Caenorhabditis elegans: one gene and its partner. The protein of the gene in region 1 interacts with the protein of each later gene in a pairwise test. Each region holds a gene or a part of one and is shown on either strand. Other genes may lie near its edges.

Evidence for each region.
Region 2: the proteins of dma-1 (region 1) and hpo-30 come close enough for resonance energy transfer, tested with the Caenorhabditis elegans proteins (one study listed by BioGRID).

The regions. Positions count from the first base shown.
Region 1 is NC_003279.8:8,278,276-8,287,215, forward strand, and holds dma-1 (LRRCT domain-containing protein), read left to right. Parts: upstream 1-3,693; 5' UTR 3,694-3,790; coding exon 3,791-3,994; intron 3,995-4,070; coding exon 4,071-4,902; intron 4,903-5,054; coding exon 5,055-5,239; intron 5,240-5,336; coding exon 5,337-5,465; intron 5,466-5,514; coding exon 5,515-5,622; intron 5,623-5,669; coding exon 5,670-6,023; 3' UTR 6,024-6,202; downstream 6,203-8,940. Other genes in the region: phaf-1 (PHAF1 protein T01G9.2), read right to left, coding at 7,778-7,853, 8,318-8,379, 8,428-8,501, 8,547-8,659, 8,705-8,808.
Region 2 is NC_003283.11:12,305,645-12,313,758, reverse strand, and holds hpo-30 (Clc-like protein), read left to right. Parts: upstream 1-3,402; 5' UTR 3,403-3,416; coding exon 3,417-3,518; intron 3,519-3,570; coding exon 3,571-3,682; intron 3,683-3,726; coding exon 3,727-3,834; intron 3,835-4,249; coding exon 4,250-4,515; intron 4,516-4,571; coding exon 4,572-4,729; intron 4,730-4,816; coding exon 4,817-4,910; 3' UTR 4,911-5,034; downstream 5,035-8,114. Other genes in the region: srg-45 (Serpentine receptor class gamma), read right to left, coding at 5,101-5,178, 5,226-5,534, 5,605-5,745, 5,791-5,918, 6,026-6,269; frm-7 (FERM domain-containing protein), read right to left, coding at 7,411-7,468, 7,525-7,777, 7,827-8,114.

The DNA of each region.
Region 1 (8,940 bases):
CGTAATAAAGGACTATGCTCATTGAAAAGTACACATACAAACACATGAAAAGATGGGGCTCCTCTTCTCTTCCTGATTTCAAGAATTAGTCGTATGGATAAACGACAAAGTGGTTTCGATGGATGGATGGATAGCAAACAAAGTTTGAACCGACGGAAGCGACAAGAATCGAGGTCAGACTGCTACTTTGCAGTCATATCACATTCCAATAACATCTTACTTCACAAACAAAGTTCGAATGTCATGAATTTGAAATTTAGAATCTAAATTCAAATCCTAACTACACGCACCAAAGTGTTTAAGGAATAGACCAAGGATCAAAAAGCTACATGAAAATGAGCACATCAACAAGAGTTCAACGGAGACAGATTCTTATTCATCTTCTCTGTTCCTCTGACAGTAACTGCATAAACATCCGCACTGACCCCTTTATAATCCATTCAACTTCATTCTGATGCACTACTTGATGCTTTTTGTCAACCAAATTGTTCGCCGCGCGTCCCATCTATTTCATAATCTTCCTGGTTTCGAAACGAAAAGTGTCAAGTTGAATAGCACCAATCGCCTGTCAAATTGCTTGCCCACCCAACCAGATATAGTGTCCGAGTTTTAATTTCGCATATCCCGCAATGCTAAATGTACGGTTAATAATAGGTATTGTGACCAGCCTCTCCCCTTCAAAATGTTCCGACAAATTGTTACTGCTGTCCGAGGGAATCTTCATGATGATCATAATAGCGGCGGTCAGAAGCTCCGAAATGATTAATTGCCAAAGCATTTCACACCACTAAATGGTCCCTCCGGAAGAAGTTGCACGCCTATTTGTGGTGGTCCCATCGTTTCAATTCGATAATCTTATCGCTTTGAACTCTCCGCCAAGGCATCAATGGGTATGATGAACCTACGGATTAGCTTTGTAACGTTAAAGTGGCGAAACACCTGTCCAATGTCTTACTACCCTTTTGCCATTATAATCTTATACATACTCGGCGTTTGCCGCCAGCTTCCTACCCAAGGCTTCGCAACTTCTTACCCAAGCCTTGCCCAAAAAATAAAAACATTTATAAGGAGTTGCCAAGACTTGGGTAAACCTTGGGCAAGAGTTGGGCGCCGCCCCTGCTGAGCCATGATGGTCGCGCGAAAAGATGCACACTCGTAAAAATATATAGTACTCATATTCTGATAGATATTTTTGAGGAAGTACCAGACATATCGGATTGATACGGTATTCTCACATACCTTATTTCATTTTTTTTTTCAAGTGTGCTCCCTAATGATTCTAAGTTCAGAATTTACAGAATTACTGTAATTCATGTTTGTTTCATGTCTTTCAATTTTATAAAAGTTTACATTTCAAAGGAACAGTTCAGTCTTAGAAAAATTCAAAATTTGATGCATAGGATTGACTGACTATTACTTGACTATTGGACTGACTAGGAGAAGAATAATCCTGAAGATAACTTTTCTTTTTATTTTTAGATAAATTAAATGGTTTATTAGACAAAATGGCAATAAAAAGCAAACTTTGTTCGTACATTTTTTAAACAATGTTAGCCATCAGAGAAAAATATTTAGAATTTGCCTTTGAAGGGACAAGTTTTCCTGTGAATTCTTTCAATTACATTGAAATTCCTCTATTTTAAATACAAATTACTCAAAAGACAAAGTGTCGATTTACGCTAAAAATTGCGCATGCGGGATTTCGGAATCTTGTTCGTTCTTTACATCTGCAAACTTGGGTAAGAAGTTGGCAAAACTTGGCTAAGACTTGGGCAAGACTCGGGCGAGGGAGTTTACACTAGAATTGTTGAAGTTGGGTAAGACTTGGGCATACACTGGGCTAGAAGTTGGCAAGAGTTGGGTAAGAAGCTGAAAAGGCCCAAACTTGGGGAAGAAGCTGCCGGGAATTGCCGAGTATATATGTATATTCCTATTTTCCCGGCGGGAGTTCCACTCCCAATACGCTCGTAAAATATTTTCATCGTAGAATAGAAAACTTGTCGAAAATGAGTGTCAGTTCCATGGACACGTCCTCCAGAGAGTTCGTGCATACAAAATGATACATCAAACATTTGAAGGGCACCGCAACACAATGCGCAAATCCTCACACACATACGCCAACACTTTCTTCAGGTGTGATAAATGAAAAGAGTGCGAGAGCTTGTGTGACATGTCAATCGGTGTGTGGATAAATTACCCCAAACACACACTTCCGATAGTGACAGCCGTGGTGTTCGTCACTCCACACGAGGATAACCGAACGCGGGTGCTCACCGAGATTCACACCATCTTAATTGGTCTGTCTGTGATGAGCGGGCTTGGAAGAGCGAAAGACAACGAATGCGGTGGAATTGGGTTAAAGTTTGCCGACAACCCGGAAAAGATTCAATCTCAAACGGAAATTGAACATTTTGATTAATGAGTTTATAAGCGAAAATGTGTTGGAAGGAGCAATTTGACACTTTCTTTGGGTTTTGGATGCTGACGGGAATATCTTGCAATGAGATTGATTGGGTGTTGACATACAGTTTGAGAGGTCTCTTGCATTAGTCATTGGTCTTTATGATTTACCGAATCGTCGGATAAGAATCAGTATGCGAAATTAAGCATAATTTTATAAGAACGTTTTTCATGAAAATACTTCGTAAAGCTTTTATGACACGGTATGGATATTTACTGTAAAGTACCGTATTCCTCTAATTGAATTTACAGTATTCCCCTCGGTTGACCGGATAAAAAACAGCTCATTATTTGTCCACAGGATCCTTTATTCGATGCCAAGTGTATTCTGTGGTACTCGATATGACGGATGAATTACCACCAAATTTGAACCATATGTCGTCGACAATTCCGATGCTTGTCTTCTCCCACCACTTGTCGTCGTCATCTTCTGCTCAATTATCTTCGCACCATAGTCAATATGAACACTATCCAGAGAAAAGAGTCACCATCACCTTTTATTACCACACACACACACACGGGTACACCAATAAAAGGGCAAGTCGTAAACGAAAAGCGCCTGCCTGCTGACATTTGGTGATGCCCACCCTTTCACATCTGGCATCCTTGACCACTATTACAGGAAGACGTTTGTTTTTTTTCAATGCCCGTTTGAATCACTTTAGAGCATTCTCTATAATTTGGAGCTTTCGTAAAATCACTTTGAAGGGAAAATTGAAGAAATCTAGGGAACAGCCGGGTGCAATCGAGAACGGGGGCGAGTGGAGCTGCACAATTTAACAGAACCTCATGAATATATGATAAGTTCGTGAATGCAATCTCCATCAGAAACCTTAGCATGACGTTGAGATTTTAGGAGCAAAGTTTTGCTTGAGCTCAGATGATAATGATATTACATAGATCTTCACATAGATAAGCTCAACTTCGTCCTTGGAGATGGTTCTGAAATTTTTTAGAACTATTATATTCAGTCAAACACCCTCTTGCTTCCAAGAAAACTCAAGCATCCACCACCCGACGCCAAAAACGCCTGAAGCGGGAATAGATTTTCTTTTAGTGGTGTGATAATTGCCACCCTCTGGTACATGAAAACAACATTAGGTGGTGCTGTCAGGCACACATTGCTTCTTCCTCTTCTATCCGGTCATCCTTCTTCTTCTTCTTCCCATGGGTGGTGTCTCTGTTGACCCTCCTTCGCCTTAAGCCCCGCCCCTTTATCCGCCCGTCCCCTTCGCCTTCTCATGGTGTTTTGCCTCACGTTTGCTGCTTCTAGCTGCTGTGTTGTTTGTCTTCTGGAGAAGTCAAGGATTCTTTGTTCCGAATTGGAACAATGATTTCATACATTTTGCTTTTATTTTTAAGTTTTTTGGTATTATGCTCTATTGCACTACCATCATCATGTCCGAATCTTTGTGAATGCGATCAAAATGACTCGTCTTGGAGTGTTTATTGTCGAAAGGCAATCATAAACGATACGATTTACGCGGAAATTCTAAACCAACTTCCGTTGACTCTTCGATCACTTCATATTCAGGTTAGTAAACGATAAGATCTAAAACCACAACGTCCGTCCGTCAATCTAATCCCTTCATTTACATAAATTGTTTTAGCCGCCCTCAAATCGCATTGGTTCTAACAAACTTCGATGGAATGACAACATAAACCGTTTTGCACAGCTTCGAGTTCTTCGTCTCATCAATTGTCAGATTCCAGCAATGTCCCGATCCATTCGACTGCCATCTTTGGAAGTATTAGATCTACACTCAAACAATATTGAGCATGCGACAATGAGCAACTTTGGTGGTATGCCAAAACTTCGAGTATTGGATTTATCATCGAATCATTTGAATATTCTTCCAACTGGAGTATTCACATATCTTAGAGCCCTGCGATCATTGTCTCTATCCAATAATACTATCAGTGATCTTTCTACAAATTTACTTCGAGGTCTCAATTCTCTTCGAGTTCTACGACTAGACCGGAATCCTATTCCAATTGAACACATCAATGAGTTATTCACAGATGTTTCCCAATTGGATGAATTATATTTGAATCATTGCAATCTTTCATCAATTTATTCTCTGGCTCTTGATCGTATTCCTCAACTCCGTCAACTTGGAATCGGAGGAAATAATCTCAAAATGGTTCCAACTAAAGAACTGAGATCTCTTCCTCAACTTTCTGTTCTCGACTTGTCTCACAATTCCATTCAAGAAATCACAGCCTGTGCATTTTGCAATACGAATATCTCAAAATTGGATCTTTCCCACAATTTGCTCGGAATTTCGAAAGACTCTCCGTTTAACGAGGATGCGTTCCGAACGATGCCATTACGTCATCTGGATTTGTCATTCAATCATATGAATGATTTTGACTCAAAATGGTTGGGATGGGCACAAGAAGAGCTGACTTCGATTGCATTGTCAGGAAATTTCTTGAAAAGTGAGTTTTTGTAGCAAAAGTTAAAATAACCCCAAAACTAGATTTTTAAAACTTTTTAGATTGTTTTTAATTTAAAAGTTTTTCCGATTTTTAAATTTGAAGAACGGTTTTTCAAAGTTACTAGAGATGGCATAATTAATTTGTAATTTTAGATTTCGAGGAGTCATGGACCTATACATTGAAGTCGTTGATTCATCTCGAACTGGCCTACAACCACATCAAATTCATCCCGGTACAGCTGCCGTCTCGCTATTACCACCTGATTTCATTGAACATTTCCGGAAATGAATTGACTTATTTGCCTGACAATATCAACACTTTGCTTCCAAATGTGAAAGTATGTCCATTTTCTATACGAAATTCGAAGCGTTTGTGGACCCCCTTATATGGGGACACGCATGTCATTTGAAACCTGCTCACTGAGATTTCTTTAGACTTTCGACATCACAGCCAACCGATTCCACACCTTCTCGCATACAGATTTGGCATTCCTAAATAATGTTGAACAAGTGTACGTAGATGGAAATCCTTGGGATTGTTCATGTGCTATTCAAGGACTTCAAGTGAGTCTTTTCCTCTCTTATTTCTGAATTAATTCGAACATCTTTTCAGGTTCATATGCGAGATCGTTATGCGATGAGACACATTCTCAACTACGATAATGTCCGATGCGCGACACCATCGCTTGTGGAAGGTCATTCAGTTCTGGCAATTACCGACGTAAGATTCACATTCACGTTATTAATTTCACTATTTAAAAACTTCAGGTAAACGACTGTGCCGTTTTGTTTGGTGCACGGTATGGATTAACGCAAACAAGTGAAATGCTCATACTTCTCGCAGGAGTTCTCCTTTTTGCCGCACTACTTCTTATGATTCTTGGATGCATCTATTTCCTTCGTGAGCGACAGTACAAAGGATCATATGTGACACGAGAACACTCTCGAACTCCACTCACGATGGCAAACACACATAGTTGCTCTTCGAGTACAAATGATACACATGGTCCATTATCACCACCATTTGATCCATTCTTGGTTAGTACTGAAACATTTAAAGCCACTCCTCCATTGATTCCACCAGCACCTCCAAAACCTGGATCATCCTATTTTGGCATTTAAATATCCTTTTGAGAGTTTCAAATGTTTCAAAAATCTAAATCCGTGTGATTATTTGCATCCATCTAGTCGTTCGATCTCCCAGCCCCATTTTCATGTATTTTTGCCCCCTTTTTCGATACGGTGTTCAATTGTTTAACCCTTTGTCTGTAAATAAAATAAACTGCTCGTAGATATACCAAGTTCAATGAAATAGACAGGAGCCTTAATCAGCAGCATAATAGTAGTTTTCAAGAGGTAAGACACCTCTTCTCGGCCGTAAATCCGTCGGCAAAGAAGTAATAAATCGGCGAGGCTGTTGTCTTTACGCCCTGGTTCTCTGTGGGGGTCAACTCATTTGTCAAATGCACACCAAGACAAATGCATAATTGAGAAGGTTTCGAGAAGGAGAGTTGACTTTTTCGTTTAAAAAAACTCCGCGGGAAAATCTCCGTAGCCACAAAATTTTGACGTTTATGAATTGAAAATTGGTTGTTCGACAGGGACTCGTTAATTTATGAGTTTATGAGCCATTCGAATAATAAATTGATGTGCGTATGTATGTGCACACGCGCGCGAATTCGTGGATGTAGATTGCACAATCTGTTATGACACGTCGTCTCATCCGTTAGATTCCCAAGTGACACCCAAAACAATTGGAGTAAGCCAATGCCAATTAAGTTGGATAGATGACCACGAAGAACAAGACATAACTATGAAAAATGACGGATCGGTGTTCGTCGCACAAGTACACATGTAAACATCCGTCTCTTTCGATAATTACCACTATTCTATGCTTTTGAACAGTCAATAAAATTGTATACTTTCAGTTTGAGTATACAATTTTGTGATCGAATTTCTCTACGATTCAATAAACAAAAGCATCAATCTTCTGGAAGTCAACCAAAGCTTCTTGGATCAAAAAGAAGTAGTCTTGTTGAAACTACAAAAGCTAATTTCCAAGACTTGCCATCGTATGTTCGCGCGTGGTTTTAAATTAATTGACATCTTTCTTGTATAAATATTCTTTATATGGCAGCACATCTGCCTCATATTCAAAATTCCGGGGGAATTTGTTAATGAAGATTTAATATATCGACGACAAATTCAAAACCCAAAACCTTTGGTATAGATCCATTGTGGGTAGAAGCCTACTGTTGGTGTCCATAAACGGCGAATCACCTGTGTAAGGATCGTGAGCGTCGGTAAAAGTTTTCTATGAGCTAAAAAGACTACAATTTCAGGAAACCATGACGCAGGAAATTTTCAATCATACAAAAGCTTTCATCATTGACCATAGCTGTGTTTTCTTTGAAATTCTGATCCATCTTCCGACAAAAAATGAATTGACACCTTCTTTGTCCTCTCATTCAGTTTCTTTACTGCTTGATGAAATAAACTGTGCGGTGTCAAAAAACGAAGGTCATTAGTGTGTAGTAGTAATTCAGTCGTCTTCTTGTTAAATGTAGCAGATGAAAATTCGTACAAGTGTCACAAACGAAGAGTCTCTCTCTCTCTCTCTCTCTCTCTACAGAGTCGTAAATCTTTCCGGACGCCATGGACATGCAAGAGGGAGCCACCACTACGATTACCCAGATTATTATCATATGCGGAAGAAAGATTTGTCTACAATAGCCATTGCGTGTGCATTAGCGATCCCTTTCCCGGATATGTTCAATTACAAGGGATTGGAACATTAACTTCGACTCATTGACAGACAAAATATAGTACCCAATAGCAAGAATTGCTACAGTAATCTAAATCCCTAAAAACCTTACCAATCCCATTACAAAGTAGTTGAAGAAGAAATTTGGTGGTCCATAGAGTGTCTCCTTGTGAAGTCCACGATGAATTCTGGAAATTTTCAATATTCAGATGAAGCGGAAATTTTGATAAAGCTAGAAACTGTTAATGGTTAAATTTTAAAAACTTCAGTTTTCGAGAAATTTTAGGCGTTCCTGAATTTTTAAATATTTTTTTAATGAAATTTTCTGAAATCTTTTAACTTTTTTTTTCAAAATTTATCCTTTTTAAATATTAGTTGGAAAGTTGTTAAATAAATTTCAGGCATTTTGAAAAAAAAGAACTTTTTTCACAATTTTTTAATTTATTCATTGGATATTGCTGAATATCAACAAAATGCTATATGAATTATTTTTAATTGATATAAAACGCTTACATTGAAACCCTTCAACTTTTTTTAAGAAAATTTTTCTTCAAAAATTGTTTAAATTTTCAGTGGAAAATTCAACATCTATTGAAAATAAATCTAAATTTGTGAGAAAAGAATTTGAATTTTCAAGAGAACGAGAACGTACTTCATCTTGTCATCGGACTTGTAGAAGACCTTTGTCGGGGCTCCAAGAATCGATTGCACATCCTAAAATTTAAATTTTTAGAACAAATTTTTTTGATTGAGAAAACCAACCGAAACAGAGTCTCCAAAATAGATTTGTCGTGTGTACGTGGATACATCATACTCTCCATCGACAATTCTTCCGTCTGCAAATATTCACTTTTTTTAATAATTTCAAAAAATTCCAGTACTTTGAGTATCAAATTGAATATCAATTCCAACAATATTCCCATTTTCCCAAATTGCTTCGACTTTTCTCGTCCGATTTTGACCACAATAACACGAGAATGGAGTATCCACGGATCTTCAAATTTTGAGAAATAAATAGAAATAAATAATAAATTCTCACTCTGGCTCAGATGGATTTGGTCCACGATAAATGGACATCTTGGTAAGTTTTGGTTGAGAGTTGGCATCATATTTCAGCGAACGAAGATTTCCACCAAATCCAGGCTGAAATTGAAGAATGTTTGAAATTTCGGTTTTTGGGAGATATAAAAAACTTTTTGGAAATTAAAGGTGAAGTAGCGGCTGTAGGTTAGAAAAAACTCTTTTAATTTTTTACTATATTCGGTATCGTATTTT
Region 2 (8,114 bases), on another chromosome or scaffold:
ATTAAAAGTTCGTTAAAATAATTTTAAAACATTTTTCTCATTAATATCACATATTTGTATTCAATATGTTTCAAAACATTGGAGAATATTCGGAAATCATTTCCACATTTCTTGAACTCTCTGTGGAATCCATCTTGTCCCTGCAGTTCATCAGAAGAACACATCAAGTTCGTTTGTGGTCTTCCGTCTACATTCAAGCTCATTCTTCATTCTTTTTTTCATTTTTCTTTTTTTTTGTTCTTCAACTTCATCTGCCCCTTTCAATTTGACCGATTGGTTTCTTTTTTCGAATGAAACGAGATTTCCGGAATTTCAGTCGAAACCTCTTTTTGGTTTCCATTTCGTTCTAGGAAATTAGGTTTTATCTGAAAAAGCAGGCACGACCAGAATTTCTGGTTTTGGTTGTGAAACAAATAACCTTGGGCTCAGCGTTGTGTTTCTGAAGATGACTATTTTTCTGAAAACTCCACGATGTTCCTGTTTCTCATTTTTGGGAGCTTTTCCAATTTCATGCTCTTCGTTCAATACTTAATTTCTGCGTCATTTCGTGAGAGTTTTGGTCTGAACCAGTAAGTGCAAATACTTTTATGAATTTTGACCTGTTATAGGTTATGTAAGTGCCTTAAGTTTATTGTTCTTTATGCTTGAAGACCCGGAGATCTACCGAAAAAGTAACTGATTGTTCTCAGTTGTACTAGATGAACATGTTATCAGGGTTTTATATAGTTTTATACCCAAATACGTTTCCCTCATATCTGGGCTCTTTTATCACACTTCTACATCGAATTATTTTCTTGTTTCCTTTTACATATGCCCACCAAGCCTGAAAATGCCTCGAATGTCTATAACCAGAAAACAAAATTGAATCACCAAGATTTGAGCGGCCGAAATTGAGAAACGAAGCACTACACTGTTCGAGGAAATACGGTATCTACTGTACATAATTGTGACATTATTCATACATAGATTTCTGATAAATATGATTTCCATACCAATTTGAACATTACATGTATTTTTTTGAGTTCCCGTCATTTTGAAATGAACTTGAAATTTGTAAGCATAATGTACAATCGTTGACCCAATAGAAGCAATTGCATTTTGCAACAAATTCCAGGATCACGTCAACTTTTGATGTCTCTGGTCTTCTTTTAAAACTAGATTACCCTTCCACAAAAATAGATTAATGAAAGTGTTAAAGAGCGGGTGGTGGCGTGGTTCTTCAATTTATTTCCGAGGAACCTCTCATTCCAGCACACAAACAATATCCTCCATCTTTTTCACGTTTCCACAGCCAATTTTTCCCTCCTCACATTCTCCTTCATTTCCATCATTCATTTTATTTTTTGTGTGTTTGTCTTGATGACAAATGTTCGGCAATTCATCATTTTTTTTAGTCGCTTTAAGGAAATCCAGAGTCTCCGCCTTCTCAACGAACAATTTGCGGAGAGTGCACCTACGATTTAGAATTTAGGAGATTTCATGCATTGGAAATGAGAAAAATGGGTGAATAGCATTTTCTCACCTTTTCTTAGCGGTTCTTGCATTTCAAAATGTTTCATAGAATCTGAAAATAAAAAAAGTTCATTCTCATGTCTAGCTTTTTTTTGAATGAATGAAAAAATTGTCTTCCAGTTAGTGTTACTGAAAAATATTTACTTAATGATTTTTTGATATATGCAAAATGCAACAAGATTTAAATTATTTTTTAAAAAAAGTTAAATTTTCTCAGCAACATGCCCAGAATCCTGCCGAAATTTTTCTTTCGATACCTGCAATACCTAAAAAGATAATTACATTTTTCTTCTTAGAAATGAATATACAAGCCCCCCTCATCGCCTTATCTGCATGAGAAATAAAAATACGCCCAACTAAAAAGTAATTCCACTTGTTTTTGCGTCAGGCTATATTCGTTTTTCTTAAAGTCAGTGTTTATTGATCTTCTTCAATTTGAGAAAATTAGTCTGATGACCTCTATACAAGGATATGTCAATAGAAACTGACATTTGGACTTTGCATAAAATTGAAAAAGAAGCGGCGGGAAGAGATGAAAACAAACTTTAATTCGATGAGACGTTTTCTGAGTTTTCGAGGAAAAAGGTTCCAACATCCTCTACACCTTTCAAATATTCCAAATTATATTTGAACTAGGTGGACACTTTAATTGTAGTTATATTTTCGTTTCCAACATCATTCACTTAAATCCGCTCTTTGAACATTTATTTCTCAATTTCTTCTCCGTGGGAATTTCAAGTGCTTTGGTTTTTTTGTAAATGCCATAAACTCATAGCTAATCCAAAATTGTATTTTATATATGTGTTTTGAGTGTGCTTTGAATAATTCGACCATATGTCAAGTGTTCGTTTTCCTTCCCTCTTCCGGAAATGTTGCCAAAATTTCGAAACTGGACATCTTCTTGTCTATCAAAAATCGAGATACAATCTTGAGTGGCTCTGTTGGGTTTCGTAATTTTCAAATTTGTTGATTTTTCACGAAAAGCGACTTATTTGGGTTTGTTATGTAATTTCATTGCGTTAATTCATAAAAATTTGAGTTTTATTTTTCTGATGATTGCATTGGTTCTGTTTTTCTCACTTTGGCTGGTTCATAGAAATCTATAAAAATGAAACTCAGAACATGTAGAAAAGTAGGCTACGCTTGTAATGTACTCCTATGGTCAACATCTTTCTTTCAACACCTAATAAATCTTTTGCACACATTCTCAGCTGTTCCAGGCCCTAAGGGAACTCAAGACGTGCAATTTCCAAGTTGCTCTCTTCCATACCAAAATGTCTCGTCTAGTTTTTTTTTTCATCATTTGTTCTACTTACATCTTGACTGTCAGTAATTTTGGGCATTTTCTAATTCTCATTCATTTGTTTTTTTTACTTTCTTTGAGTTCCAATTAAGAAACGAGATAGAATAGAAACGAGACAATGAAAAGAAAAAAGTTCGTTTAAAATTCTATTTTGTTCTGAATAACTTCCATGACTTCAGTCAAGGACAATAGCTTGTTTTGAAGGCATTTGAGATTTCTGGACACTTGCGCAATATAACTAAACAGATACGAAGCAATAGTTGAATTCATTTACGTGTCTACACACCTGGTTTATTATGTTTTTGCTGCTTTTGTTTTCTTTTATAGCAGAAGAAAGTTTTCTCCTCAAACTTCAGAGTTTTCACAATTCTCATTAAACATCCTTAAAAGTATTCCGATATTTTCTCACCCTGCAAAAGCAAAAAGATAATCCAATACCCTTCTCTCACTCCATTTCTACGTATTCTTCCGTTCATTCCTCCAATTCAAGTGCCCACTTGATCTTCCTTGAAATTCGAGACTCACGACTTCTCCTTTTAACTAGCACTTTTAACACGTTTCCACATTCTTCTAGTTTAAGATTTTTCAGAGTAACCACGGAATGCCATTAATTATGTACAAATTTCTATTAGTCACTTCAATATTCTTAATCGTTTCCGGGCTAATATTAACTGCGTTCTCGTTGTTTAGTCCTCTTTGGGAAGTAAGTTTCTAGTCAATAAAATTCTGGTTTTTTTTAAATGTCAATTTTGTAGGTAGTTGATTTTCCTCGTTCTCATTTATCACATCATCACGGTCTTTGGTGGGATTGTATTGTACATCATGAAACTTTAATTCCGTTACATGAAGATCAAGCAGAACTTCGAGGTACCTTTTTTCTGCTTTTGTTTTCTAAATAAAACAAGTTTAAGGTGATCGATGTGATAGTAAGATGGATTCTTCGGTTCAAGCATCATTAAGAGTTGCTCTTGAAAAAGGAGATGAAGAGGCCAGAGAGCTTTTGTTACATCGGTTTCTACGTAAGTTAACAATATTTTAATGCTTTTCATGTGCCGAAACTTACTTTTTTCTTTGTTAGAAAGATAAACTAGAAACTATATAAAACTGATTTACCAAATGCAGGTTCAAGTTATTTTTTAAAATAATTAGAGTGTGAGCGTAGTAGTTCAATAATTTGTTGATCAATTTTCTCTTTCTGGATACAGAAGCGTATTGGCATTGCAACGTACATACACATGTTTGGTTCCATGCTATTAATTCAATTGATTTTCTGTCTTAAATTCTAGGACTGTAATGCTATTTTTTGTAATTTAGTATTTTCTGATCTAGAATATGCGGTAACAATAAATTAGATTTTACTGTCCAAACACAAAATTACTGAAGATACAAGTTGATTTTATATTCTTCATGAAACCAAAAAAAAATTAATTTCAGCTCATCACAAAGGTGTAATTTTCTTCGCAGTTTTCACTTTTGTTTTCGGACTAATCTCCATCCTGATTGGCTCCTGTTCTCCATGTTTTCCACCAAATGCACTACTTTATGTAGTTGGTGTCTTTATGACCGGAGCATGTTCTTTATTAGCAGATATTATCTACATATTTGCTTTTAATCAGAAACCAATTTTTACAAAAGAACAATCTGAGCCACACCAAGAAGTTTTATCGAGAAGAGAACGAGGATCCATTGGACCCATTTATGTAAAAATTCGAAAAAAAATTGATGTCATCTTTTTATTTTTTTTTTCAAATTCCAGAAGCGTCTTGGCATTGCAACGTACATGCATATGTTTGGTTCCATGCTATTAATTGCTGCATTCATCTTTTCAATTTTTTGTGCCTACTTCCTCATCACTTCAAAACATGCACACGACGTTTGTTGCACAAGTCGAAAAGAGTACAGAGAGCAGACAAAGTAAGTTTAATCTGATTTGCGGATTTTTCTAAACATGTAACTTTCGTCTAATAAAACAACTTTCAAGAGTAAAATAAAGGTTTTCAGATGGAAAAACAATGGGCTAATTCTAAAAACTGGAAGAGTAAATCATCAATCACATCGGCCATTTGTAGTGATTGACGATGACAGCAGTATGTGAACTGATATGCTCTCAATTTAAAAATTCTGTGATTTGATCTCTTTATTTTGAAATACGGGTTTTTAACAATTTGATCTTAATAATGAATGTAAATAATGTTCAATTAATAAATGTAAAACAAGAAGTTTCAAAATCAAATTGGAATTTTAAAAATAATTTGTGTCTTTCCATACACTCGCATTTTCATAACTTAGTTTGTCAAAGATCGTACTTGGAGAATCGTTGCTTTAGGTTTTATACCAAACAATATCAAAATTTCTTTTCTCATCTGAAAATCAGGATATAACATTCTTGAGACTATATTTCAACCCTCACAGTTTTACTAAAACAAATCAACAGCCAAGGTTGCACCAAAGATAAACCGTCACTAACAAATGGTAGAACCATTGTAAGATATGATAACATAGAACAATAGTTGCACTTCAATAAAGCAATAGAAATTATTGTTCCAATAAGTTGGACTAAACATGTTATAGACATTATGAGTAAAAAGTTTGTTTCCGCTTTTTTTCTTTGAATATTCAGATTTCGTAAAAATATGACACTTGTAGTATTGGAAAGAATTGAAATTGCCATACAAATGCACATAAATGGAATTAATACATTGTAAATTTCTATGAATGGCTGAAACCTCAATCAAGTTATTTATTTATTTATTTTTATTTTTTTTTGTTTTGTAAAAGTTTCCGCCCACCATATTTGGGGTTTGCAATGTGTAAGAGTCGCTTTCGTTGAGATAGTCAATTGTGAATTTATTTTGAAAAATAATATGAGTGTTGAGAAAGGGAACAAAATAAGCAACTAGAATAAATAACCATGTAATTTTTTTCCAAATCTGAAATTCTATTTGTGTCTTTGAATTCGTCGTAGATTGATTTACCGGTTCGAAAATGTTATACTTAAACAATACTGTCAACCGATTCAAAGAAACAAGAGTTGTTAAAGCGTATTGAACATATGCCATATGATAAGCCATTGTACCCATAAATGTTAAGGGCAAAAAATTACCTGGAAACTAAATTTTATGAAATCTACTACCGGTCGTTTAAAATCAAGTATTTTTTTTAGCTAGGTTTCAGTAGTATATGCACGAAATTTTTCACCGTGGAACTAACCTATGTGTCTGAAAATTGGTGCCATCAAACAGTTATAACACGTTATACTGGTAAGTCGCATGAAGACGAGTCCCATTATGTAGGTGAAAATGTTCATAAATCCGTCAAACATAAAAATTTGGTAAAACGATGAATCAAATAATTTATTGTTTTTGATAATAACTATGCAAGTTGTGATATAAAGTGCTACGGATGGAATACCATAAATAACAGAAGAAATGAAAGTAGTTAGGTTTCCGTTCATTTTGAAATATTAATAGAAATTTCAGTAAAAAGAAGAATTCGTTAAGCCTATTCTGAATCCCAGACAATTTTAGGAAAAAAGGTGTGAAAATAATTATGAAATATCATGAATTCTGCACGTAGATTTCGAAAAATATGTGAGGGGATCAGTTTCCAACAATGTACTCATAGACATCAATGCGAATACTCATCGAACCGAAAATACTTCAGAATCGATGTTTATTTCAGAAAGGAAGCAAATGTGATTGTTGAGTAGAATTTTTGAAAATAGGTTTCTCTGAATTTTTCCGTAAGGAAATTGTCTATTGTGTCATGAGGATCACAAAGATCTTTGACTTTAAAGCCCGAATAAATTGGGATCTAGAACATTGTTCCAAAATATCTGGAGGTTCCATCGAACATATAAACTGGAAAATTGAGAAAAATCAATTGATAAATTCTAGTTCCAACAGTTGTTATCATCGAGTTAGCTTGTATAGAATGTTCCTAAAATGCAACATTTTTAAATTTAATAAAAAAATTCTCCCGTTTATTGTTTGATGCTAAGGGTTCGTTGATGATTATGACTTGCAAACACAAAAAAGAAGAAACGAGGCGTTGTTGGAAGTTCGGAACACATGAGAAATGTCTATGGGGAAACGGCGGAGGAAAAATGAGCAGCACACAAGCACACAAAAATTGTCGGAAAGTTTGAAAAATATAGAGAGGCAAATCACCAATATGGCAAGGTTTTTGTGGGAGGGTGGAATAAGTGAGAGCAAAAAAAACAATAAATTGTACAGAATAGGCAAAAAAGAAAACAAGGGTGATATTGAGCATGGTTTTTTGTTGAGCATTGACATTTTGGAATTCAAAAAGAAGCGTATTATTCAAACAGGAGAGTATGAAAGTACGCTTGATTGAAAATGAAAAGATTATAAAAAGAGCAGAACTTTCACTTCTACACCCGTACAAATAATATGCAATATAGGTGAGCTGGGAGGGCTGGGCAAGTCTTCTATACGAACATTTCTACGAAAAACTGGAAAACAACAGATATATAAATTGTTGAAAAAAGAATCACTGAGAATTGCAGAACCACGTGTCGGAAATGATGATGATGTCTTGAACTGTGAGCTTTTGTGCTGATTATTTAATTATTTCTAGTTGACCAACTGTTGTGGTTGTTGATATGGAGGAGGTGGTGGTAGGATTAAGTCGCTGAAAATATATATGTAAATTAAAGAAAATTCTTCACCAATATTTGAAATACTAACCCATTATGTTGTTCGATTCTAGCAAAGTTATTTGTTGGCTTGATACTTTGCTGATGTTGCAACTGTTGATGATGTTGTTGACTCGGTTGAAGTGGTTGCTGATGGGATGAAGCTGTGATAAGTGATGATGTCATAGTGGCAGAAGAGGTTGTAGTTGTTGAAGTTGTCATTGGTACAAAGCTCGATAAATGTAGATTCTGCGAAAGCGTGGCAGAATCAAAGTAGTAATCACCTCGATGGGTTGGGAGGACGACTGAAAATAAATATAATATTTTTAAAGTTTTAAGTAATTGTTAACTTACAAGCTCCTCCATTGATAACACCGCCATCTAACGAACTTAAATCATTGCATGAAGATGGTCTCCGATTATGAGATAGAATTCCAGCTTGTGAACTATTATAAATTCCATTTGTCATTGTAATTGCATTTAATTGGCCTTGGCTCTGTCTGTGCTCTTTGAGAAGTTGTAAAATCAATGGATAATTTTCCATTTTCTCAGTGGAAAAGGCGCCAGCTTCTTCCAAGAACTGTGTTGGAGTGACACTTGCTGGTGGGAAAGATGCTTGTCGGTCTCCAGCTATTTCTGCAG